Elephas maximus indicus: one gene and its partner. The protein of the gene in region 2 interacts with the protein of the main gene of each other region in a biochemical or structural test. Links are inferred from orthologs where the notes say so. Each region holds a gene or a part of one and is shown on either strand. Other genes may lie near its edges.

Region 1 (7,054 bases), on a different chromosome or scaffold from region 2:
CTTGTACGTTATCATGGGGGAATTTTATGGTATGTAAATTATACCTTCATAAAGCTGTTTTATGGAAACCCTGGTGGCGTAGTGGTTAACTGCCACGGCTGCTAACCAAAGGGTTGGCAGTTCGAATCTGCCAGGCGCTCCATGGAAACTCTATGGAGCAGTCCTACTCTGTCCTATAAGGTCGTTGTGAGTCGGAATCGACTCAACGGCACTGGGTTTGGTTTTTGTAAAGCTGTTTTTTGTTACAAAGCAATATAAACACGTTCTCAGTTAAACCAGAATCATCCAAAGGCTTCCTTAAGCAGTCTTACCTGAGATTCTTTTAATGCTTGCTTTCCCCACCAAATTGGGTTGGTGTCAACTATGATCACTAGAAGATTCAATTCATCTTCTGAAAATGTTAACAACAACAAAAAAAAATACATTAGTCTCATGAGAGTGAATCACCGCTAACATTCCCCATTAGTACAATTTAGAGCAAGCACCAACACATGCTTTTATATGTTTATCATCCCACAGCCATATTAACAGAAGGCCAAATTCTTTTAAAGATTTAAAACTTAGTGGGTCCTGAGCACGCTCTCGCCTGCTTTCCATGTGATTGTACCTTCCCCCTTTCCTCCTCCAAGCCACTGCGTTCTTTCTTGTGTCACAGGAGTAAAAGGTCTGACAAATTCAAGGACCAAAAGCAATGTTACCTCTTTCTTCCCAAAGCCTTCCACAGGTCTTCCAGCAAGAGATCCTGACTCCCTCCTCTCAGGTGAGAGGGAATGCCAGCCTTCTCTGCACCAAGCACTGGCATATATAATCCCATAATCCTGTTTTATACTAAAAGCAACCCAACAAGGGACATATGAATGCTGTCTTTCATCAGTTATAAGCATTCCTTTTTCCTTTTATTTTTATATTTATGAATCCTGTCTTTCATCAATTACAAGGCATTCCTTTTTTTTTTTTCATTAAACTCAGGGTGGTGCCTTACTATTAAAATTGACAGCATGTTTTGTCTCTTCAGAGGTACATAAAATAACAGCATGTCATCTTAGATTACATGAAATACAGTATTCTCATTTTGCAAATAAGAGCAAGTTGCCCAAAGTCACATGTCCTGCTGGCAAGTGGCAAAGCCAAGACCTTGCTGTAAAGACAGATCTCCTTGACTCTAAAGACTGTAGTTTTTCATTGCCCCACAGCCTGACTCTGACCACTAGCTGCACCAATGGACACTCCTCTAATGACATTTAGCTCTCACTACCTCATGTTAGTTAGTTGTGTGCTTCTCATCTCTCTTCCCAGCCCTGCTCACTAAACTGTGGAGGCCTTAAAGAATGATTTTTGCTAGTCTTGGGACAAATGACGTAATAAGTGTAAATCACAAAGTGGCTAGCACAGAAAAAAAAGAAGCAGGGCTTTAATAACTGTCTCTCCCACAGGCCCTCACTTCTCTACCCATAAGCCCTCAAACCTTTACCTGTATTCCCCATCAGGCCCCACCTCACAATTCTCAGAACCGTTAGTTCTCTGATGTTACCAAGACAGCCTGAGAAAAAGAGAGTATGTTGCCTGTGTGGAGAGTTATGTGTATCAGTACATCCAAAATGTCCCTGTGAACGTCCTTTGGGTCTCGACCTCCTCATCTGTAAATAGGGACAACAAAGCCAGGTCTGCCCACTGCCCTGACAGGGAACACAAAAGAGAATCCCTGATGGAGCAGGAGAACAGTGGGATGCAGACCTCAAAAAGACCAGACTTATGGTCTAAGACTGGAGGGACCCCAGAGGTCATGGCCCCCAGACTCTCTGTTAGCCCAAGACTGGAATCATTCCCAAAGCCAACTCTTCAGACAAGGATTGGAGTGGACTATATAGACAAAATGATACTGGCGAGGGGTGAGCTTCTTGGCTCACGTAGACACGAGACCATGTGGGCATCTCCTGTCTGATGGCAAGATGAGAAAGCAGGGGGGACAGGAGTTGGGTGAATGGACATGGGGAATACAGGGTGGAGAGGAGGAGTGTGCTGTTATATTAGGGGGAGAGTGGCTAGGGTTACACAGCAAACTGTGTGTAAGTTTTTATATGAGAGACTGACTTGATTTGTAAACTTTCACTTAAAGCACAAGAAAAGAAAAGCCAGGTCTGCCCCCCTCAAAGGGATGTCGTGTATATTAAAACAGATAAGAGAAGCATGGACCATTTTTACACCCTCAGAATGGATCTTCCTATTTCTTCTCTTGCTCACACAGTCCATTTTCCACACAGCAAACTGATCTTTCAAAAATGTAAATTAGATCATAATATTTCTTAAGTATGCATCACACTTAAAGCTCCAGCTATGCGGCCCTGCATGATGCAGCACCTGGCAGCTCTCTGGTCTCATCCTCTTCTACTGTCCTTCTAGTTCAGTCTGCTCCAGCCATCCTGGCCTCCTTTTTCTTCCCTCAAGACATCATGCTTCACAGCTTGTAGTTTACTGTATGAATAAATGCCTCCCCACCTTCGCCATCACCAGGTTCCCCAGTTCTGTCTTCTCAGTAATGTGGCGTCTTGACCTGCCACAAGGCCTTTGCACTTACAATGCACTCCCCCAGGAACTTCGCATGGTCGACCCAAGTCTTAGTTTAAACATTACGATCTTCCCTGGACTGAAGTAGCTCTTGCTCCCTCCACTAAGCACAAGCTACCACATCATCCTATCATATTGTCTTCGTGGCTCTTGTCATCCCTTGAGATTATTTTTGTTTTCCTGCTCATTGTCTGTCTCGCCCACTAGAATGCAATGCCATGAGAGCAGAGACCTTGTCTATCATGGTCTCTGCTGTATCCTCAGCGCATAAAATAATGCCTAGCACACAGTACCCGCTCCACATTTACTGAGTGAACGAATGAATGAATGCATTCGCTACTCCTCTAAACACCAAATACGTCCCATCCAGCCGAAAAACTACACTCCATTTCGCCGGTCCTGGCCGGGCAGAGTCCGCCCAACCCCGGCGCAACTCTCACCGTCTGAGACCATGGCGGCCTCCGCGCAGAGCCAGCAGCAATCGGGCGACCGTCGGGAATCCGCGGACCGACTTCCGGCGCTGCCCAGTGACGTCGGGACAGGTTTGGACGGGGCCGCGCCGTACTCGTAGACACGCTCCCGGCGCGCCGGAAATGGGCTGCAGAACTGCGGCGCGCGCTGTCAGTCTCAGCGGCTTCGAGCCGGCACAGTCGCGGCATCTGTCGAGGCAGCGCGGGTGCTTCTGATCTTCCCGAGCTTCGCCGTCCGGAGCGCACCATGGACGAAAAGGGTAAAGTGGGGCGAGGCAGGCTGGGGCCACTGCGCCTAAAGCGGGTCGGGGTCTCCCATCTCGCACGCCCAGGCTGCACACGGAGAGAAGAGAGGTCGCTTTCCAAGCTCAGGCAGCTCTGCAGCGTGTCCTTCTTCTAGTAAAAGCTACATCTCCCTCGCTGCTCCTATAGGTGGGGGATGGGCCCTGAGAGTGTCCACAGGCACTGCCCTCCCCCGCGCGCTTCTTCCCATGTCCATTCTCCAAAAAAGTGAGACTTTGGACGAGCGTGCAGGCCTTCGAAGACTCGCCTTCTTCGTATGTGAAATAGCAATAAGACTCCCTGCCCTAGTGGATCTGTTACAATCTAAAAAGTAAGGCATAGCCGACATACTCCTCTAATATGGTTTTGAAGACATTTAAGTAAAAAACAAGGAGCAAGCTAATGTACAAAGTACCTATCATGTAAAAAAACAAAGGGTGGTGGAATTCTGCGTACACAGATGTGTATATGTGTGCGTGCGCTTGAATTAGCCAAGACTCTCCTTGAAAGGATGTAGAAGAAACTGATAATGGTGGTTGATTCTAAATCCTCTCAGGACTTGGGATTAAGGATAGGAGAATGACTTTTCACTATCATTTAGCAGAGCTTGAATTTTATACCATTGAACATGGACGGCCTTTTCAAAATGAGACAGGAAGAAAGCTTACGAACAGTAAAGTGGCGTCATTTCCGTTCCCATTAACATTTGTCGTCCCCCTGAAGTTCACTTACAGCCAAAACCTTGAAAAGAAAGTATTCCTTGTTTTGTTTCCTACTGTTGTTATCGTTAGGTGCTGTCGAGACGATTCCGACTCCTAGCGACCCTAAGTGACAGAGCAGAACTGCCCCATAGGGTTCCCAATGCCATTATCTTTAGGGAAGCGTATCACCAGGTCTTTCTCCTGTGGAGCTGCTGACTGGGTTTGGACCACTAACTTTTTGGTTACCAATTGAGTGCTTAACCACTGTGCCACCAGGGCTCCTTTTTCCTAAGGTTAATAGTCATTAACCATGTCTCTTTTTTTCTCCTTTCCCAGAGTTAATTGAATACTTCAAGTCTCAGATCAAAGAAGATCCTGACATGGCCTCAGCAGTGGCTGCCATCCGAACTTTGCTGGAGTTCTTAAAGAGAGATAAAGGTAGGAGAAGAGCATCCTCAAACATGCTGGGCCTTAGGAAAGTCTTCCAATAGCTGTTAGGAGAAGTGAAGAAAGTGAGAGATGTATGTCTGCCTACGTTAGGTCTTAGAGCTCCAAGCTCACATTCTTCTTCATTTAAGCGTTCCTTTTAACCTGTAGAGAGTCCTCAAGTTATCATCAAAGGGCTCCCCCCATTTCAATCTCTGAGTATTGACAATTTTATTTATTTCCAAATCTTTTTTTAAATTTTATTTGTTGTTGTTGAGAATATACATAACATACACCAATTCAACAGTTTCTGTATGTACACTTCAGTGACATTGGTTACATTCCTCAAGTTGTGCAGCCATTCTCACCCTCCTTTTTTGAATTGCTCCACCCCCATTACCATAAACTCACTGGCAAAGGGCCCCCCTTTTATAAGTGAAATATCCTTTCTGTGCGAGTAACTGCTGTATCAAGGTAACTGTAAAGTTTAAAATTTAGCAATACCTCAGCTTTACAAATGTTTATCGAACGTTTTCCCTGTGCCAGATTCTGTGCAGGTGCTAGAGAGAATGTCCTGGAATAAATTCTGGACTTAATGACATTAACTGTGATCTATTAATTCAGACATCCTAAATGTAAACACTTGGGTATTAAAAAAAACACACCAAACCCATTGCTGTCGAGTGGATTCTGACTCATAGCAACCCTACAGGACAGGGCAGAGCTGCCCCATAGGGTTTCCAGTAAGCACCTGGTGGATTTGAACTGCCAACCTTTTGGTTAACAGCCAAGCTCCTAACCATCATGCCACCCGGGTATCTACGTGGATGTAGCATGATATTAAAGAGCCCTCTAAAGGGCTGACCTAGAGACCGGTGTCTCTAAGACAGTCTCTAGTGTCTTCCCCTTGTCCTTACAATAACATGCAAAGCCCTGGGCCTCCACCACGTTGCACACCTCCTCTGCGTCTGCTACCTACTTCCTTCTCTGCTCCCCCTCATTGAGCTCTGCTTCAGTCGTGCTGGCACCTCTTTTTTCCTCAGGCCAAGTTTGTGCCCATCTCTGGGACTTTGCGTTGTTATAGTCTACGCCTGGTAACTTTCCCACCGGATCTTTATGGGGCTGGATCCTTCCTTAGTCTGGTCTCAGTTTAAATGGCCCCCATTCCAGGAGGCTACCCCTGTTGTTGTTGTTATTGTTAGCTGCCATGAGGTAAGTTCCAGCTCATAACAACCGTATGTACAACAGAATGAAAAACTGTCTGGTCCTGCTCCATCCTCACAATTGTTGCTGTGTTTAACCCCATTTTTGGAGCCACTGTATCCGTCCATCTCATGGAGGGTCTTCCTCTTTTTCGCTCACCCTCTTCTTTACCAAACATGATGTCTTTCTCCAGGGACTGGTCCCTCCTGATAACATGTCCAATGTACGTGAGACAAAATCTCACCATCCTGGCTTCTAAGGAGCATTCTGGCTGTACTTCTTCCGAGACAGATTTGTTCATTCTTTTGGCAGTCCGTGGTATAGTCAATATTCTTCAAGGACACCATAATTCAAATGCATCAATTTTTCTTCAGTCTTCCTTATTCATTGTCCAGCTTTCATGTGCATATGAAGCAAATGAAAATTCCATGGCTTGGGTCAGGGGCACCTTAGTCCTCAGAGTGACAGGTTTGCTTTTTAACACCTTAAAGAGCTGTTTTGCAATACATCGTTAATCGTAAAGCAGTGGCTGCACCTTTCTCATTCTGCTTTTTTCTGTCCCCGTTACATCTGTAATTAACTTGCCTGTTTATCTGGGTGCTTGTTTATCGTCTGCCCCCTCTTCTAGAAGGGGAGTTGCAGCAGAGCAGGGACCTTATGCATCTTGTTCACTGATGTTCCCTCAGCAGCTGGAGAACCCAGGCTTAGTGTACGCACCCAGTAAATAATCACTGAATGAATTCATGAATCTCAGCCTCCACAAGGGGCTGTGGTGCTAAAAAGAACACATTCCTCGTGTGGTCATTCCAGGGGAGACAATCCAGGGCCTGCGAGCGAACCTCACCAATGCCATAGAAACCCTGTGTGGTGTGGACTCCTCTGTGGCCGTGTCCTCTGGAGGGGAACTCTTCCTTCGCTTCATCAGCCTGACCTCCCTGGAATACTCTGTAAGCCCTGCCCTCCCACTTCCCTATTTGCTTACAAACACCCTCGGCCTTACTGTGACCCTCTCCATCCTCTCATGTCCTCGGCTTTACTGTGACCCTCTCCGTCCTCTCACGTTGCTCTTTCCTCCCTAGGATTACTCCAAATGTAAAAAGATCATGATTGAGAGGGGAGAGCTTTACCTCAGGAGAATATCGCTGTCAAGAAATAAAATTGCAGATCTGTGCCACACCTTCATCAAAGACGGGGCCGTAAGTAGATGTCTATCACGTGCGGTAATGAGGAGCAAGGGCTCTGGAGTCAAACTGCCAGAGGTCAAATCCTGGCTCTGCCACTCATTTGCTTTACAACCTTGGGCAAGTTCCCAAACCTCTCTGTGCTGCCGTTTTCACAAATGTTAAATAAGGGTAATAATAGTACCTGCCTCACAGGGTTGTTAGAAGAATTAAATGAGTTAGTATG
Region 2 (7,730 bases):
TTTCCTCAAAGTTGCATAGGAGAGAATTGACTTCTAAATTACACATTTTTGTATTGTTAGCCAAAAATTGCTATAAACTATATTTGTATATGGGTGAAACTGAAATATATGGGTGTTGAGAGGTGTAAGGATAAATCAGTGTTCACATCCCAACTGCAACTGTCCTGTGGAAATCTCAGAAAACCACTATTCTGTTACTAACTATGAAGATATAACAAATTCCCACTTTCCTTGTTCAGTTCTGATTCCAGCCACCCATATGGCACTTCTTTCTCTAACCCCAGCCACCTGGAGCTAGATAGATTTCACAACTTAAAAGGACACTGTCCTTTAGGCTGCCAAATAAGCACACACCAGATGAAAGCCTGGGGGTCTGCACCACACCCTTACTTCTGACTTGCTGGGCACAAAGTAGGGGTTTCCCCACTACCCCTTCAGGGAGCCAGCCGCAAGCTCAGGGGCCTCTCCTGGTCTCCCTCACTTTCACCTGCTGGCTCCCATTACTCCTTTGGGTTTGAAAATTTGCTGGAACAACTCACAGAAATTACTATCCTCACAATTACAGATTTGTTATCAAAAATAGACAGAAATCAGGATCAGCATAAAGAAGAGATGCCCAGGGCAAGGCTAGGGTGGGTTACCAACATGAAGCTTCCATGTTCCAAAACACATGCCACCCTCCCACATGTATCAATGTCTTTCATCAACCAGGACGCTCTTGGAACTTTTATGTCCACGGCCTTTACTGGCTTCATTGCATAGTCATGATTGGGGTCTCACTGAATATGCGTAATTGATTAAATCATACCACCCTCCCTCCCTCCCTGAGGTTAGCTGACCAGGTGGTCCTTGTGGCCTGGCCAGCCCCTTGACTCATTTGTACAAATCCTCAACTGTTGTCTGGAGGTTTTAGATAATAAAATCATCTTGATTACTCAGGAGATTCCAAGGGTTATCTCTCAGGAACCAAAGACAAAGGCCAAACTGAGTTCTTTGCCTCACAGGAGGGGAAGGTCCACAAGCACTAGATCCTCAATGTTCATAGTGGGAAGCATAGATAATGTCTAAAATTGAAAGGGGAAAAAAAAAGTTCAAGAAATAATAATACATAAACATATTGCTTAAAGATATGGTGGTAACACCAGAAGAAACAGGTGAGTCTAAAGTGTGTGCTCTGAGGAATGAAAACCTGGGTAAAGAGGAGTCAGGCAGGTTAAAATCCTGTTCTATTAACTGACTTTTAAAACTATAGGCATATATTATTTGAAATAAAGGTTAAACATAAAAGAAGATTCTACAAGTCACCTTCAAAGGAGAAAAGTCTATTACTGAAAAACAGATTCTAAGTCCTAATTTATGTTAAAAGCAAGCAAACAAAAAACGCCAAGCTACTAGGACTTTCAGACAACTATATAGCTCAATATGCCAACAATATGAATACATCATACTAGCTAGTCAGAGCCCTGGTGGTGCAGTGGTCAAGAGCTCAGCTGCTAACCAAAAGGTCGGCAGTTCAAATCCACCAGCCACTCCCTGGAAACCCTAGGGGGCGGTTCTGCTGTGTCCTACAGGGTCACTATTAGAACTGACTCTATTCTCGATTGCACCTATCAAGAACAACTAGTCAGTCTGGTCAATATATTTTGTTTTGTTTTTTACAAATGTGCCAGTCACAGCTCTACGCATAATGTAAGGGGAAGAAAACACAATAAACTCACAAATAAGAGAATTTTAGAATTTGATAAATGGTATGAAGATGACACAAGGAAATATGCCAAAGAATGACTGTGAAGGAGAGGGACACACCGGTTTTAGCTATAGTGGACAGGGAAGGCCTCTATGTGGAGGAGACATTTGAGTGAGACTCCAAAATAAGAAGGAATCAGTCATGCTACGTTCTGGGAGGGGAATGAATTTAATGTGTTAAAGGGACAGAAAGGTCAGTGTGGTGGAATATAGTGAACCAGGGGTAGAATCGAAAAGATGAAGTTTGAAAAGATCAGGAGAGTTTAGATGTTTTACAAAGGAGTGGCTATACTGTTGAGTCACAGAATGTATGCTGAATATGGCTTAAGTTTCTTAAATCAATGTGAGTTAAGCAAAAAAGCTATATAAATAATTTAAATATAATGCAACACACATTATTGCTAATGCTAGTGAAAGCCTTTCATGGTAACTCTGTCAGCAGAAAATAGACGGAACAGATGGGCAGTACTTGTCCTTTATATAACAACAAAGTTTATGTAGCAAAAATAATGTACAGTTTCTTCTTCACTTCAGTTTCATTTAATGGAACAACAAACTGGTTCAATCCCAGAGTTCTATCTTAGAAAACAATATCCCAATTCTATCGTCTCTGAAAATGACATAACTTATTAGCAGAGATCAAGAGTACTAAAACGGTCATCTATCAGCTCATAATACATTTTCAAAGAGACTTGAGAGAAATGACCCAAAGTGTAACTCACTTTTTTAATGGCGACAATTTGATTGGTGTTCTTGTCTCTGGCCTTGTAAACTGTGGCGAACTAGACAGAAAACAGAAATAACATATGAGTTTATGGAGTTTTCTTGTAATTGCCTTTTTACTTTTTTACATTTTGGGAAGCACAGGGCCGCTAGAAATGTGGTGGGATACTCCACGTCTGTTCTTCGGAAGGGAGGGGGCTGCTCAGGGGTCACCTCTAGGGTGTAAAGAGAAGGGTAGCACGCGCGGCTGGGCCGCCTCCACCAAGGAGAACAAGCAGCCAGGCCAGTCCGCTGGTCCCACGCGAAAATCCGCGAGGGTCTGAGGCGGCACTGTGCTCTCCGCTCCGGGCCCTCCCAATCCCAGCACGAGACCCTCACCTGTCCCTCTCCGAGAAAGTCCAGTTTCTCATAACGCTTTGCTCGCGACTTCACGTCCAAAGCCATTCGGCGCGTGAAGCCTGACTCCGAAAACGTAAGGCTCCAAAAACCAAGCGAATTTAAAGCTACCTCAGAGGCTCCCACAGCCTCTTCCGTTCACTGGACTCCCACACTGTAGTAGCCCCGCCCCACTTCCGGGATGGGCGGGGTACTGCTAAGTGGATACCAGCGGGGTCCGCCCTCCGGAAGCTGCATGAGACCCGGCTGATTGGCTGGGCTGTACCGCCCCCGCCTTGCGACGTAGTCTACTCCGGGTTCCGCGAAAGGAGTGTATCTGATGGTGGCTGTTTGCGTCACCCTTTTACAGTTCTTAATTTGGGTCTTTTCTTAGCTACTGGAGACAGGTCGGCGTTCGGATTTGGTGTTCTCAGTTCGGAATTTGGTAGGTGTGTGTGAGTGTGGGAGGCTTGTCCTTTTCCTTGATCTCCCTTTGTAGCTAGTTCATGATCGTGTATGGCCTCGCCACGGTTGCTATGGACGCCAAGCTCCGCGATCACAGGTTACTTAACCAGGTGTCACTTTCTTAGGGACTGGTCTAGAGGCATTCTTAGTCCAGTTCATTTATAAAGCAGGTCTAAAAATTCAACTCAGTTGAAACGTGCTGTGATCCTCAATTCTCTACCCTTTAAACTGGAAATCATAATAGACTACATCATAGGATGGTGAGGATTAGATGAAACACTTAGAAAGTTTAGACACGTAAGTGCTCTGTGTGTTATCTGTGATAAATACCCAACTTCTAGATCCCTATCAATTTTCATACAAATCAACAAAATAAAGTTAACATATTAACTCATTGAAATAATATGTAATTGAGTGCTTACTATGTGCCAGGCACTGGTGTAGACTTTGAGAAATCAGCAAGGAACAAAACAAAAATCAGCATTCCAGTGGGAGAAACAGGTAATAAGCAAAATATGTTAAGATACTTAGTGATAAGTGCTATGGAGATAATAAGGGAGTGTTATTTTAAATAGGGTGGTTGAGGAAAAACATCATGAAAAGCCATTGGAGGATTTTGAGTAGATAAAAGATATGATCCGACTTCTTTTAAAAGGTTTACTTTGGTTGTTGTGAGAGACTAGATTTAGAGGAGCAAGGTCTGTTAGAGAATTTCAGATTCTCATGGAATCCAGACTTCTGGGCCACTGAGCCTGGGTGAAGCCTTGAAACTATTGTCCTAAGATAACCTTTAAACCTAAATTATAATCCCCTGAAGTCTTCTTCAAACCAAACAACAGGTTAGCTTACTCAGAAAGAATGTCTGCCTTCAGCATTGTGCTCTTTTAAAAAAACTATATGGGATCAAATTGACAACAGCAACTCCAGAGGTTAAATAGGAAGTTTAGGGAGCAGTGACTTCATGTCAATGGGGGAGGAACAATTCAGAAAAGGAGAGTGAGAATGGTTGCACAACTTGAAGAATGTAATCATTGTCACTGAATTGTAGATGTAGAAATTGTTGAATTGGTGTATTGCTGTGTATACTTTCAAGAATAAAAAAATAAAGTAGTAATTTAAAAAAGGTCTCTTAAAGAGTTATTACAGTAATCCAGATGGCTGGTTTGGTTTTTAGCAGATAAGATTTATAGATACACTGGATATTGGAGGGGGGCGATTTTAAGGTTTTGAGCTTGAGCTGCTATAAAGATGGAAAGGTTTACCCCCTTGTCTTTGCATTTGATGTTTCTAGGAGTTAAGAATGCTATCTTCAGAGATGTGTTGAAGAAGGCAGCAGAATTACCAAGGGTAATTTTGTAGTCGAGGTAGTATAGTGTAGAGGCTGAGTTCTTACTTTGAAACCAGACTGTTTGCAATTTAATACTGTCCTCACCAGTATTCAATCACTAGATGTTTGACTTGGGGAAATTACTAAACTTTTCTGTGCCTAGTTTCTTCTCTGTAATAGGACTGGCTTATAGTGTGTTCATACTTATAAAAGCCCTTAGTGTCTGACAGCTGAGTGCTCAGTTTATATTGACCATTCCTGTCATTGGTCACCTTTAAGCCCTTTGTCACTACTTGGGTTTTTATTGAGCTGATGCACTCAGGCATAATTTCTTGTATTACAGAAGACATACCAACTTTAACACTGCTAACTCTTTTACTTGTGGCAAGTAATACCTCGTGATGCATGGTGTCACATGACTAGGTCAAAGTTCCTTCTGACAGACATCACTGTAACAGTAATCTACCTAAACTTGAAGCAGAAATAAGCTAAATAATGAGCTAAATTTGATGGTGCACCTGTGAGGCTCCCAAGCGTACTGTGGTATAGGAGTTCATAACTGCAGCATTATAACCATGCTACTAAGTAAATTCCTATTTGGGGACATTTTAGATGATATTCTGGGGTAATGTGGTCATATGTATAAAATACTGTTCAGCATTTGTATATCATTTTGCATTTTACAAAGTGCTTTCACGTATCTGTAGTAGCCAGCTTCCAAGATGGCCTCCGGTGATCTTTGCCTTCTGGTATTAATGCACTTGTGTAGTCTTCTCCCGCAGCAAAACAGACTGTGTGACCAGTGAAGTATGGCAGAAGTGACTTTGTGTGACTTCTGAGGATGGGTCATAAAAGGCATTGCTACTTCTACCTTGCATGCTGTGGAGGAAGTCAGCCACCATATGAATTCACTCAGTCCTGTGGAGAGGCCTACATGGAAAGAACTGAAGCTTCCTGCTAATGACCAGCACCAACTTGCTAGCCATATGACTGAGCCACCTTGGGCATTTATCATCTAGCCCCAGCCAAGCCTTCATATGACTGCAGCCCCAGGTGGCATCTGATTGCAGCCTCACAAGACACTAAGAACTGTCCAGCCAAACTGCTCCTGTGTTTCTCTGTGTCAGAAGTGTGCTAGGGATTGAATTGTGTCCCCCTCCCCCCACCAAATATGTGTTGAAATCCTAACCACTGTACCTGTAGATAAGACCCTGTTTGAAAATAGGGGGTTTTCTTTTGTTATGTTAATGTCATGCCAATATAGGCTGAATCCTATACCTAATCACTTTGAGTTATAAAAAGACCAGAATAGATAAGACACACACACACACTCAGAAGACAGACACCAAGGAACACCAAGGAATGCCAAGGATTGCTGGTACACACCAGAAACTGAAGGGCTCAGAGAAGGAACTGACACAGCTGAGATCCTGATTTGGACTTTTAGTCTCCAAAACTGTGAGAAAATAAAATTCTGTTCTTTAAAACCACCTATCTGTGGTATTTGTGTCACAGCAGCACTAGGTAACCAAGTCAAAGTGATTATTGTTGTTTTAAGTTCACTCCATCAGTTTCTGTCTACAGGATCAATAATAGATTCCAAAAAAAAACAAAAAAAAAATGGTCCTGGGCTTCCTTTCACTGAAATAAAAAAACTAAGGGGTATAAAATAAAATTGTAAGTTTTGCTTTATGAAAACAGAGGTCTCTTGTCCATGACACTAAAGGTTATCTTACTAAATGTTAGAAACCTATGTGTTGTGTAATTATATATATTTATATATATATCTTAAAGCTTATAGTTATGCCTTGAACTGTAACTAACTTTTAGAAGCAGCTTGTTGAGTTTCACATAATTGTATTTAGGTGATCAGGCTCACTGAACCACTTGAAATTTGATTCTTTCAGAAAACAATTAAAGATTAATGGACAAGTCCTGTTTCCAAGACTCCAGAGGTCTTAAAGCCATGGCTCACTGATCTGTGATTGTCTTAGTACGGTTTCTATCTAAGCTTTGACAATGTTTGAGCACATACTGCTCTCTTATAAGATCTACGTATTCTGATATAATCTCAGCTGGTAACAATTTTTCTTCAAAATTCCTGATGAAATTATATATAAGTACCCTGAAAATCTTTTACTTAACTGGAGCACTGATGTACTGAGTAATGACATGTTGCCCAACTTTAAAGTTGTCTATTAAACCTGCACAGCAATCTGTTAATGGCGGTCTGAGTTATTTATTTTGACAGGGGAAAAAAGAATAATGCTAGTTAGAAAAAAAAAATGCTTTTCCAAAAACATTTTTTAAATAATAAAAAGGAATTACGAACCATATATTTTTCATGAGTTACCATTACAACTTATGTTATCAACATACTGCAAGCATCAAACCCTTATCTGATATTTGAGTTGGGCAACACTTACAGTGGGCCACAATACAGAATTTACACCAGCAGCAGTTCAACACTGGCAGGATACAGGAAAGTATAGATTAACTCACAGAATATAGAAATGTATTCAACAACAATTCTACTTTGTCTATTGCTCATGAGCTACCCTTACTATTGACTTCTTTAAGGCATATTCTAAAAATCACCAAAGGTATGTAAGAGAATTCATTTGGCTTTGTGAGGCTTTACTTTCACAATACATACCCTTGGGGCAGGAAAACCTTATTAAATTTTCACAAATTACCTTAAATAAGATAAGTATTAAGTTGATTTTATGAGGCTTTCAGAAACGTTTGAGAAAGTTACTGGTTATCAGGATTTGCACACGTGATCACATGAAAACAATAAAATAAACCAAAGAACAAGACTTTTTAACAGCCCTCAAAACTTAATAAATTACAATTTCTAGTCAAACGTTTATTCCTATGCTGTGGTCATTTTGGCCTCGATTTATTTTCCATTTTGTACTCTTTGACATTTTTTCTGAGTATAGGTTACAAACAATCTTTTGTGTTATCTCCAATCTCAGTACCAAAAAGTCACCTGTTTTACCTTGGCTATGTTCTTACCCTTTACAGTAGGATACACTTACTAAGCTAGCTATATTCCAGTAACTCTGTGAATGAAAAATGTTACAGGATC

What was found. The genes of interacting proteins can lie anywhere in the genome.
Region 1: the proteins of CDK7 (region 2) and GTF2H3 form a complex in vitro, tested with the Homo sapiens proteins (2 studies listed by BioGRID). The link is inferred for Elephas maximus indicus from reciprocal best matches to the Homo sapiens genes CDK7 and GTF2H3.

Annotation. Positions count from the first base shown.
Region 1 is NC_064840.1:6,741,744-6,748,797, forward strand, and holds the start of GTF2H3 (general transcription factor IIH subunit 3), read right to left. Parts: upstream 3,080-7,054; 5' UTR 3,019-3,079; coding exon 3,006-3,018; intron 392-3,005; coding exon 312-391; intron 1-311. Other genes in the region: EIF2B1 (translation initiation factor eIF-2B subunit alpha), read left to right, coding at 3,283-3,295, 4,355-4,456, 6,458-6,594, 6,727-6,843. UniProt on the Homo sapiens protein: Component of the general transcription and DNA repair factor IIH (TFIIH) core complex, which is involved in general and transcription-coupled nucleotide excision repair (NER) of damaged DNA and, when complexed to CAK, in RNA transcription by RNA polymerase II.
Region 2 is NC_064820.1:74,677,731-74,685,460, reverse strand, and holds the start of CDK7 (cyclin-dependent kinase 7), read right to left. Parts: upstream 3,025-7,730; 5' UTR 2,914-3,024; coding exon 2,848-2,913; intron 2,529-2,847; coding exon 2,469-2,528; intron 1-2,468. UniProt on the Homo sapiens protein: Serine/threonine kinase involved in cell cycle control and in RNA polymerase II-mediated RNA transcription. Cyclin-dependent kinases (CDKs) are activated by the binding to a cyclin and mediate the progression through the cell cycle.